2 linked regions of the Oryctolagus cuniculus genome follow. The protein of the gene in region 1 purifies or fractionates together with the protein of each later gene. This does not show direct contact. Links are inferred from orthologs where the notes say so. Each region holds a gene or a part of one and is shown on either strand. Other genes may lie near its edges.

Region 1 (5,593 bases):
TACATTTATCCTTGAAATAAAAATTCCCAATCAATTTTTGATAGGCGCAGGACCAGATGGAGTTGAAGAGATTAAGAGACATTCATTTTTCTCAACAATAGACTGGAATGTAAGTATGGAATGGAACTTTGCTTGAAATATTTTTATAATTAACACATGTCTAAGTCTCTCTTTTCTCTCCAGAAACTATATAGGAGAGAAATTCATCCACCTTTTAAACCTGCAACTGGTAGGCCTGAAGATACATTCTATTTTGATCCTGAATTTACTGCAAAAACTCCCAAAGGTAAAGAGAAAACATGAAAACCCAAATATAAGACAATGAATACATGTTTGTCTTGTTGATCAGAAAATGTTTTCCAAGATCACTAGGCATATTTGAAATGCTCAGTATTGACATGTGTATAGTGGCTACCATATTGGACAGCACAGATAAAGACAATTTCCTTCATTCTAGGAAGTTTGATGGGATAGGGTTAATGTTTGAATACCATTAACCCAGTAACAATATTTATTATATTCCTCAAATGAATTGGCTGTTTTCTAGTCCCTGAGGGAGCGAAGTTAGAATTGTTGTGGCAATAAGTGATCAGATCATATCCAATACAGTACTGAGATATCCTGGACTGCAGTCGGTATATAATTACCTTTCAAAGGAATCTTCATAAAATTTTTTGCTCTTTTCAGATTCACCTGGCATTCCACCTAGTGCTAATGCACACCAGCTCTTTCGGGGGTTTAGTTTTGTTGCTATTACCTCAGACGATGAAAGCCAAGCAATGCAGACAGTTGGTGTACATTCAATTGTTCAGGTGAGTGCGTGTCTAATAATTTTAAATTTTAAATGTTATGAGGTACAGTTCATTGTATAAATATATTTCATGAGCTGGACAGCTTAAAATACACTTTGTATCAATATTACTCTTTTTTAAAAAAATATTTATTTATTTATTTGAAAGTCAGAGTTACAAAGAGGAAGAGAGAGAAAGGTCTTCCATCCTTTGGTTCACTCTCCAGATGGCCGCAATGGCCAGAGCTGCACTAATCCAAAGCCAGGAGCTTCTTCCGGGTCTCCCATGCAGGGGCAGGGGCCGAAGGACTTGGGCCATTTTGCACTCCTCTTCTAGGCCATTGCAGAGAGCTAGATCGGAAGTGGAGCAGCCAGGACTCAAACCGGCACACCCATGTGGGATGTTGGGACTGCAGGCGGCAGTTTTATCCACTATGCCACAGCTCCGGCCCCTAATATTACTCTTAGAAATTCCTTTCATATGTCATTGATAAGGTTACATGAACCAAAATCCTGGATATCTATGTGACTTGAAAGTGTAATTTTACAAAAATAGAGATAAACATCACTGCCTTGCCTCTCTGCCTCCTGTGCCTCAGTGTTTGTCAGGCCTGGTTTATTTTATCCTCTGACTCTGTTAGTCCAGCTGTGATGGATTAAGGTCTCCTGGCTCCTTTATGCCTTATAATAGTCTTGCATCTTCATTCCTTTGGAACCCCCACTGTCATTAGGAAGAAGTGGCTGAGTACCTCATGTTTCGTTTTCCTATTGTTTATCAGAATTGGCAAAAAAAAAAAAAATAGGTAATAGGCCATAGGGGCAGATTGTAGGTATATGGATGGGAATGGGCAGTGGGGAAAGGGTAAGTGCATAACAAGAGACTGGAGTGGTACATAATGCTATAGGAGCACAAGTACTACAGTCTACTAGATTGATTTTTCCCATTCCAATACTATAGAAATATAAATTTAATTCATCTTTCTAATCAGAGAGGGAATGGCATCAATTTTTTGAAGTATTGAATTGTTTTTAAGATATCATTAGTGTTTTCATGATTAAGTTGCTTTTGCTCTTATCTTTTTTTGTGTATGTGAGACATTCATTTTGCTATCCAAGAAAACCAACTTCAGTGTTAAGCAAAACTCATGTTGAAGTATGAGTAGTCTGTCCCTTTAACCAAGTAAGCACATGAATATATGGAAAGTTTTTAAATTACAATTTCTATACCTAAAATAGAAACCACAAACCTATTCTCCAGAATTCAAGTTTTAACCTGTACAAAGCTCATAGGTCTGGAGAGTCTCATGTCAGCAAAGTTAAGGGCAGCATGACTTTCTTCTCAGCCTCTTATGGAACCAATAATTTTACTGTTTGTCCCTAACCCATGAATAGCTTCTTCAACAGAAGTTGCATAAAGCTGTGATCTGAGGGTAAGAAAAGAGGGAATCTGACTACAGAAAGTCCAGAATGATGTTACACCATTTGTATTTAATCCTCAATAGGTTACACAGTCTGTAAGTGATACGTCTGAAACAATAGTGAAAATATTCTAATTCTGAATCCTCCTAAATCTTTTTCTTCTATACCAGAGACATTAGACTTCTCATTTGCAAAGGTGCTTCAGAAGTCAAATTGGGCAAAATTACAGAGAAAGCTATGGACCCCTTATCAAGTAACTCTGCTTTTTCTGGTGTACATATTCAATTTCTTCTTTATTTTTTTTAAAGACTTATTTACTATTTGAAAGAGAAAGGGAAATCTTCAGTCCACTGGTTCACTCCTCAGATGGCTGTTATGGCTAGGGCTGGGCCAGGCTGAAGCCAGGAGCCAGGAACTTCATGCGAATCTCCCTCGTTGGTGGCAGGGGCCCAAAGAGGTGGGCCATCTTCTGCTGCTTTTACCAGATCATTATCAGGGAGCTGGATTGAGAGTGGATCAGCTTTACCCACTATGCCTCAATGCTAGCCGCAGTTTCTTCTTCTTTTAAAGATTTATTTATTTATTCGAAAGTCAGAGTTAGAGAGGGGGGGGGAGGGAGAGGTGTCTTCCATCTGCTGGTTCACTCCCCAATTGGCTGCAGTGGCCAGAGCTGTGCCAATCCGAAGCCAGGAGCTTCTTCTGGGTCTCCAACATGGGTGCAGGGGCCCAAGGACTTGGGCCATCTTCTCCTGCTTTCCCAAGCCATAGAAGAGAGCCAGATTGGAAGTGGAGCAGCTGGGTCTTGAACCATCACCCACATGGGATGCCAGCGCTTCAGGCCAGAGCATTAACCCGTGGCGTCACAGTGCCAGCCCCGCCAGTTTCTTCTTTTTAATATAAGCGTTCTGGGGGCTGGCATTGTGACATAGTGGATAAAGCTGCCAGCTGTAGCTACCATCCCATATGGGCAGTTGTTCGAGACTTGGCTACCCCACTTCGAATTGCAGCTCCCTGCTAATGCACCTGGGAAAGCAGAGGAATGTGGCCCAAGTGCTTGGGCCCCTGCACCAAAGTGGGAGACCCGGAAGAACTCTGGGCTCCTGGCTTTGGCCTGGCCCAGCCCTGGCCCTTTCATCCATTTGGGGAGTGACCCAGCAGATGGAAGATTGATCTCCCTCCCACCCCTCTCTGTAACTCTGCCTTTCAAATAAAACTAAATCTTAAAAAAAAAATAAGTGGTTTTAAATGTATATTTTTTGCTGAATATTTTATTGTAGAAACTTACTAAAAAGTGCCCTTGTAAAGAATTAGTGCTATAATTTATTTTTACTGATACTCATTTCTATTTTAACTTAATATCAGCAATGCATACTCAGTAACATATTCCTCTATTTTCAAGTATGCTAAAAAGAAAGAGTACGGAACTCTTCATCAATTTATCATTTCATTTGCAGCAATTGCACAGGAACAGTATCCAGTTTACTGATGGATATGAAGTAAAAGAAGATATTGGAGTTGGATCATACTCTGTTTGCAAGAGATGTATACATAAAGCCACAAACATGGAGTTTGCAGTGAAGGTAAATGTTTTTACATTTAAAATACAACTCTCACAGTTCTTACTCATGCATGTAAGTACCAGTTGAGAACTACACTCTTTTTTGTTATTGTTGTTAAACCTTTTGTTATAAAAAGTCAATGTAAATTTAAATATCTGACTAGGGATCTTCAGAGATCTAGAAGCGTGGATTCCCCTTCTAGCCTAAAAATGAAGTAGCCATATACCCAGTATGCCTCACATAATTTCTTTTTTTTGTAAAGATTTATTTATTTATTTGAAAAGCAGAGTTACAGAGAGGCAGAGAGAGAGAGGCAGAGAGAGAAAGTCAGAGAGAGGCAGAGAGAGAGAGAGGCAGAGAGAGAGAGAGAGAGAGGCAGAGAGAGAGAGAGAGAGAGGCAGAGAGAGAGGCAGAGAGAGAGGCAGAGAGAGAGAGAGAGAGGCAGAGAGAAAGAGAAAGAGAAAGATCTTCCATCTGCTGGTTCACTCCCTAAATGACCACAACAGTCAGGGCTGCGTCGATCCAAAGCCAGGAGCCTGGAGCTTCCTCCAGGTCTCCCACGCAGGTGCAGGGGCCCAAGCACTTGAGCTATCCTCCACTGCCTTCCTAGGCTGTTGGAGAGAGTACGATCAGAAGAGGAGCAGCCTGAATTTGAACTGGAGCCCATATAGGATGCCAGCACTGCAGGTGGAAGCTTTACCCACTATACCACAGCGCCAACCCCAAAATTTCTTTTTATTTGACCAGTCAGAGAGACAGAGACAGTGTTCTCTGCTGCTGGTTTACTCCCCAAATGCTGACCATTGCTGGAGATGAGCCAGGGCAAAGGCAAGAGCCAGGAACTCAATCTAGGCCTCCCAAATGGGGGCCAGAGACCCAACCACTGGAACCATCATGTATTGCCTCCCACAGTGTGCATCAGAAAGAAGCCAAAATTGGGAGCAGTGCCAGGACTTGAACTCAGGCACTTATCCCCTGACATGATATTCTTTTTCACATGATTTTTAATAATACCCCTTTTATACTTGAAAGTTCCCGTTTTCTGGTCAGGGTGTCAGAAAATTTCTAAAACTGTATAACAAATTGGTGTATGTTTATATTTTTTGACAAAAAGCTCATACCTTCATATCTAAAAGGCTCTGTGAACCAATACAAGAATTAAAACCACTGTCATAAAATTTATCACTATTAGCTGTTTCAATTTCATCAGGTATCTCATCAGAATGTCTGTTTTGAGATACCTGGTGAAATTAAAAGAGCCAAAAACCAAGACACCTAGCTCTGTGAAAAAGTTTGAATTTAGACCATTAGCTATAAGTGAACAAATAGTATATTCAAGTCTCTGCCTTTTGAATTCTTAAGGTAGTAACCTCTGCTTTCCCATCTCAAGCAATTCAAATCTTCTCTGTAGATTTCAACTTATCTGGAACCTTAAGGCTAGTTCATAAATATGGGTAGCTCATGTTTAGTTAGTGAGAGAGTGACATTCATTGTTATTACTCTAAAATTGGATGTAATTACTTTAGAAAGTCTTCATTGTCCATAAGGCTTTCTGCCACATATAATGATGAATCATAGAAATACATTTAAGTTTCTGTGCTCTTATTCTTTTCTCCAGATTACATAGAAATTTCCAAATTGCTTACATGAAAGGAGAGAAGAAGAATAACATACTTGGTGGGCGAGTTTTATTATGTGCTTTTTCCATAAACACGTTGAAAAAGCAGCAACGTCTTAGGCTCCCTTTGGATTACAGAAACCAGAAGCAGTATTCCCAAAGCCTTCAGAATACCTCCAAGCTATTTGTAGATTCTTGTGATTTAAA
Region 2 (6,138 bases), on another chromosome or scaffold:
TTAGTGCAGCCTCCCCCGCGCCAGCTCCCTTAAACCCAAGAGGGAGAAAAGCATTTCTCGGCCTCTCCACGGTGTGCAAACGGAGCTCTTTCTCATGATCTGCCAAAAATACAAAACAAAACAAACAAACAAACAAACAAAAAAACCAAGTGCTTCCACAGGCCCGCTCCACAAACTACGCGAGGCCAAGCTTTGCAAAGGCATCCTTTGGAGAAATACAGTAAAAGGAGCCACAGGACTCAGCCAGGCGCGGCCACTTCAGTCAGGCAGAGTACGTTCTCTTCCACCATCCACCGTCGCCTCTGCCACCCTCAAAGCAGGGACGGCGCGACCTCAGTGCCAGGGGCACCCCAAAAGCAGTCCCCCGGCGCTCAGCCTCGTTAAGCGCTTCCCGCCGTTCCGGAAGCTGACCAACCACCGCCGGCGTCTGCTCGCAGCCCAGGGGTTTGTTCCACTCCCTCTGTGGTGCTCCGGAAGACAGGGATCCCAGGAAGCTTACAGAGAAATCCCCACCAGGTTCCACTTGTCAGGACTCATTTTCAAACGCAGAAGTGGATTTCAATCCCTCGCCAGAAGACGGAACAGAATCGGAACACAGTCGAAGCGGCTATCCAAAAAGGGGGGGCAAGACCAGAAGTCCCCTGCACCGACCAAACGGCAGCGGACGGCTAAACGTCTCCAACCTCAGCAGAGGGGTGGAGAAGCGCAGACTCGGATGAATAATGCAAGAGTTTATTAATGATGATGATGATGTGTGAATTACGCTGACATGCTGGCTCGGCCAATAACCTATTTATTTCTATTTATTTTAAATTTGTCTTTGACACAGAGACAAGAGAAAGACACAGAGAAAGACAGGGAAGGAGCTCCCACTGGCTGCTTCACTCCCCCAGATATCCACAAAGCCTGCGGAAGCCAGGAGCCAGGAATGGAATCCAGGTCTCCCACGTGGATGGCGGGAACCCAGTTACTTGAGCCATCACCACTGCCTCCCGGGGTCTGCCCTAGCAGGAAGCCGGAGTCCGAAGCCTGAGGCTGGTACCCAGCCCAGGTACCGGGATGTGGCACACAGGAGTCTCAATCTATCTATTCTGTTCACCCAACGGATACCAGGCAGGGACTTTTCCCAGGAAGTTTAAAATATTCCTAATAACTTTAAACTCATTCATGTCGTCAGTGACAGAGAATTTGATTCAAACAGTCCCACAAAATGATACCCCAAGTTCAGGCTTCAGACCCCATGAACCACACTTCCTAAGGCTGGGGGGGGGGGGCAGGCAGGAGCGAGAACTTTAATACAAAAATCTCTAACCCGGGCTTGCTGCGTGCCAACTTGATGTTTCAAATTATGCTGAGGAGATTTCCACACCGCTGGCACCTCCCTAAAGGTCTACCATAAAAATTGTTCCTTCCAGTCCTGGGGTTCAAGTGGGTGCAAGTGAAGAGGTTCCCAGAGCAGGGATAAGGAAAGCACAGGTGACAGGCTGCCATCCACAGCAAAGGCAGGAGGAGAGCGCGTTGTGCACGTGTCCGTGTGCGCCTGTGCAGCTCCAGGGACTTCCCTAACTTCTCTTCCCCTTCAAGTCAAGAGCCTTCAGACAGGCTGTGTGTATCCCTACAGCCATGTGGGAGGGGAGCACAGAGCATTCCTGTGCATCTACAGAATGCAGGGGAATTTTCCGCCTCTAACGCTTCAGGAGCAATCTCACATCCCGCAGCGCAAGGACTGACCCCAGGCTGCTCCCCCGGCCGCTCCACCCACCTGCACAGCCAAGAAAGGAGGACAGTGGCCAGTGCCCGCGGCAGACCCCAGGGAAAACCTGAATTTCCGTCAGTCTCCAGGTTCAGGCCCCGCGGCGGTCCTCCGCCCCAGCTCTTTGCGAGGCCCAGGCCCCCGGGGCGGCAGGTACTGGAGTGGACACCAGGCCCAGGCGACCCCCCGGGCAGGATAATGAGGTCCCGGGGCTCGGTGTTGGGAACACAGGCCCAGCATGCCGCTGGCGGCCACAAGCCCGGCTTCCGGCCTGCACAGCCATACTCCTTCCCGGGGTCTGAGCCTCAGCGAAAGCCTGTTTATTTTTCCCCTTGAAAGGGAACTCTCTGCTCAGCCCGCGCGCCGCTGGAGCTGTCACCCTCCCTCTGATGGATGGCTCTCGTCCACCGCCGCCGCCCCCCCAACCCCGGCACAAGTCTGCCCCCCCAAGACGCGAGCTGGGACTAGCGCAAAGAGCCCCGCGGGCGCCTGGCCCTGCTCCGGGAGCCACAGCTAACAGCCCCAAACCCCAAGCCCACGCGCCCCGAGAGGCCGATAGAGGGGCCACCTGCCCCTCCGCTCCTGGGCGGACTTCGCGCGGGAAAGTCAACAGCGCCAGGGCAGGGGCGCCTCCACCCCCAGCCCCCTTGCTCCAGGCCTCCCAACTTCACCCCAGAGCCGAGGAGGACAGGCGATCCGCCGGGGAGTCCAGCCTAGGGGAGCAAGTCCGCAACACGTGGAAATCCCAGCAAACGCGGCCCCAGACCCGCGCCGACTCCGCATCAGCGCCCGCAGCCCCGGGCGCACGCCCCCAAAGCCGCGGCCCGGGCGCTCCCCGCCGCCAACCCGCTCCACGGTCGCGCAGCTTCCCCGGCACGGCCTGGAATCTCCAGTTTTTCTCGCCCCTTCTCGGGGCGCTAAAGAGCTTGGGGAAATCTGCATTTTAATTGACATTCCAGGGAGCGGGAGAGGGGCGCCTGATTGCTTTTCTATTCAAACTAAACAGGCTTTTCAGATGAAAATGAGTTCGAGGCCGGGGGAAGATTTACGGGGATTTGGGACGCGGGGGACAATGGGGTTTTAAGCGTGGACAGCGCTTCACGCCCGCAGTGCAAGGGGTACCCCGAGGGGGAGGTCCCCCCAGGTGGGGAGCGAGGAGGCACCGTCCCGGGACCAGTTCGCGAGGCCCGGCGCCCTCGGCCGCGTCCCCGGCGCCGCCCGGTGCTGCAGGAATGGGCGCGCAGGTCGGGACTCGCCGCGCTGTCGACATCGGCGGCGGCGGAGCGGGCGGGCCGAGGGGGAAACGTCGGTCCAGGTCGCCCCCTAGCCCCAGGAGCGCCGAGCTCGCGCAAGGGCGCCCCGCACCGAAACCTGGGAACCCGAAAGACGGCCCCCGCAGGCGCCACCCCTCCGGGAGGTCGCCAGCCCCCCACCGCCGCCGCCGCCGCCGCCTCCAGAGGCTTCCTCCCGGGGAAGGCTTCCCTCCAGGACCTGGATGGGACGGGCACCCCGAAGATGCGCCTCCGGAGCCCCGGCCTGCGGGGGTGGCGCCCGCCCGACTTTGACAGCGAAGGGGTTGTCAGCGCCAGAGGCAGCGTCAGCACCTGGCGTGGGTGGTCCTCGGGTGCCAGCCCTCGGCTCGCACCCACCTCCCCAGCACCGACGCGGCCCGGGGCGCAGGACGCGGAGTGCCCCCTGCCCGCGCTCTCACTTCCCCGAAGCGCCCAGCGCGCCGATTACCTTGAATGGCAACGCTGCTCCGCGATCCGGGCAGTCCCCGCGCACGGCGCGGCTCGGGATGCGGCCGGAGACGCGCCCGGGAGAGCCTCCAAAGCCGAGCAAGAGGAGTCCCGGGGCGGAGGAGGGCGGTGGGCCCGGCCGGCGCGGAGGCTCCGCGGCTTCACGCGCACCGCAGGCTGCGGAGGCGCGCGGGCATCACGCCCGCCCGCTGCCCCTCGGGTCCGGGGAAGCGCGGTGAAGAAAGGGCTCGGCGTCCGCTCCGCCAAACTTCGCTCGCAAGTTGCAGGCGCCCGGAGAGCGCGCGCGAGCTGCGGCCTCGGGGCCCCCCGGTGCGCGCGGGCCGCCCGCCAGCCCGGAGAGCGGTGGCCGCGCCGGGCCTCGCACGCCGCAGGCAGCCCCCGGGCGCCCGAGCTTTGTGGCGGCCGCGCGCGCTCGCCGCTCGCCGCTCGCCCGCCGGTCCGCTCCGCTCCGCGCCCGCCCGCTCGGCTCTCCGCGGCGCTCTCCGCGGCCCCGCCGCCGCCGCCGCCGCCGCCTCCTCGCTGCGGGTCACGCCCCCGCTGAAACCCGAGCCGCTTCCTGGACGGCGGCGCCCGCTCTGCCAATCAGCGCCGCGCGCCCGGGCCGCCCCGCGCCGCGCGCGGCTCCCGACGCCTGCGAGGCGCCCGCGACGCCCGGCCCCGGTGGCCGCGGAGCGGTGCCGCCGAGGCCCCCGAATAAGGCCTGCTCCCGCGGCGCGCCCGGGCGAGCTGGCCCGCGGCCGGCCTCACGCTGGCTCCGGGCGGGATGGAAAGCCAGCGACACGAGGTGCTGCCCCTCCGAGGCACGGAAGCCTCGCCCGCACCGTGCGAGGCGGCGGAGCGCCTCTGCACCGTTTCTCTGGCCTTGCGCACAGAGGGCAGAGCCCTGGCCGGGAAGCTCCCGCGGAGCCCCGCGCCCCACTTCGGGAGAGGCGTGAGCGGGTCGGAGAGGTCACCCCGTTGGGCCGGGGTCACCCGGAGGACCCCGCAGAGCCTGCCCTGGAATCTGGCTCTTTTGAGAAAAGGCCCCAAGCAGCAGTAGCAACAGCAGCGGGCTGTTTCGTCACCCACGAGCATATTGGGTTAATAAACAGAAATGCGAAACTCTCAAGGCTGCCAGGAACAGCCTGACCCTAAGCAGACCCTAACCTGCCTCTGAATCTCAGATGCTTTGGCGGCACCAAGCTGTCACTGATTAAAGTCCGGGTTTTCTGTGTGCCCTTTCCGCTAGGCCGTGTCTGGGGATAATTTGTTTTTAAATCTACTTTCCCAGACAGCTCCTGAGCCATCTCAAGACCCTACAGATAAAACCCTTAATTATTTGTTCTTAGAAAAATGTCACCTAACCCAGAAGTCCCTGAAAAGCCTCTTGGGGGGGAAGGTGGACGGGGCAGGGAACAGCCGACCCCCACACACACACCCCGGGTGCACCCCACAGCCAGCGGGAAGATGTGTTTGTTGGCCAGGTGATGAGACAATCGGTTTCATTCAGCTGCAGCCTTGGAAACTTCTATGCAGATGGCTTCAAATCTGGGAGTGACAAATCCATCTACCTGCCTCAGGCCACAGCTGTGAAATTGTATTTGGGGAGGCTGACAGCAAAAACAAGAGCTGGGCAAGTCAAAGGATCTGTGTAGATGCTTGTTCGATGGGGCGTGCTGTTGGCAAAGTCCTCTGGCTGAGCTGGCCTGTCCCAGCCCGGCTTTGTCATTAGCAGGTGTCTCAGCCAGGTGACACCCAGCCTCTGCCCTTACAGGGGCCGCTCAAGCCAGAGATCCTGGGAGAGACCAGGGACCGTGGCCCAGCGTCTGTCTGAGCGGAGGCTGGCGCTGACGTCTTTATGTTCCCCACCGATGGGAAACAAGTGGCTCAGGACGAAGCCCGTGCCCAGGAAAGGCCACTGGCGCATTCTCACATAAATTACCCATGCAGGAAGCCGCTGTCCCCACCGGCCAGCCGTCGGTAGGGCCCGGCACTCTGAATGCAAACGAAGCCTGGCACAGAGAGTGACACAAGACGTGTACGCTCGTGTCCAGACGCAGCCTGCAGAATTGACTCTTTATGGAGGTGCAAAGACCAGTGCGTCAGAAGCGCCTCACTCCCATTAGGAGCACTCATTTCTGGGCCAGAGAAGCCCAGAGCCTGCACCAGCAAACTCCGCCGTTTTGGGAAAAGAAAAAGCATGTTTGGAATTTTTTCGAAAAAAATCAACTCTGTCATCATACTGAGGCTGCGAGTGACCTCAGACGGTCCGGTCCAGGAAAGCTGTCACACCAGCGAGGCTCTGAATGAGCGAATAATCTCTTGGTAGCTCGCTCTCGCTCTCGCTCTCTCTCTCCCTGTCTTCCCACTTCAAGCCGCTGGAACTGCTTTTGTCAATGACCTCGTGAATGGTGTCGCTAATCAGCCCATTAATGCGCTTCCCCAGCAGAGTGTGAATAGGTAAATAAGCCCCAGTCTGCGCAGTGCTGGGACCAGGGCAGCAAAGCCAGCGAGAACTAAAGGTGACAGTTGGAACTGCACCAGGAGCACCCGCACCAGGTCTCGCTGAAAGCCCCACCAGACAAGGCCACTTTCACAGTCCCTGCACCCCCTACGAGGCCCCTTTCTTCCCATTGTCCCCCTCGT

What was found.
Region 2: the proteins of RPS6KA3 (region 1) and FGFR2 purify together in Homo sapiens (affinity purification with mass spectrometry; 3 studies listed by BioGRID and IntAct, counting the BioPlex papers as one, with this or other methods). This does not show direct contact. The link is inferred for Oryctolagus cuniculus from reciprocal best matches to the Homo sapiens genes RPS6KA3 and FGFR2.

The regions. Positions count from the first base shown.
Region 1 is NC_091453.1:6,230,077-6,235,669, reverse strand, and holds part of RPS6KA3 (ribosomal protein S6 kinase alpha-3), read left to right. Parts: intron 1-44; coding exon 45-109; intron 110-183; coding exon 184-286; intron 287-687; coding exon 688-812; intron 813-3,663; coding exon 3,664-3,789; intron 3,790-5,593. UniProt on the Homo sapiens protein: Serine/threonine-protein kinase that acts downstream of ERK (MAPK1/ERK2 and MAPK3/ERK1) signaling and mediates mitogenic and stress-induced activation of the transcription factors CREB1, ETV1/ER81 and NR4A1/NUR77, regulates translation through RPS6 and EIF4B phosphorylation, and mediates cellular proliferation, survival, and differentiation by modulating mTOR signaling and repressing pro-apoptotic function of BAD and DAPK1.
Region 2 is NC_091446.1:9,299,362-9,305,499, reverse strand, and holds the start of FGFR2 (fibroblast growth factor receptor 2), read right to left. Parts: upstream 3,979-6,138; 5' UTR 3,494-3,978; intron 2,044-3,493; exon of another isoform or gene 1,763-2,043; intron 1-1,762. UniProt on the Homo sapiens protein: Tyrosine-protein kinase that acts as a cell-surface receptor for fibroblast growth factors and plays an essential role in the regulation of cell proliferation, differentiation, migration and apoptosis, and in the regulation of embryonic development.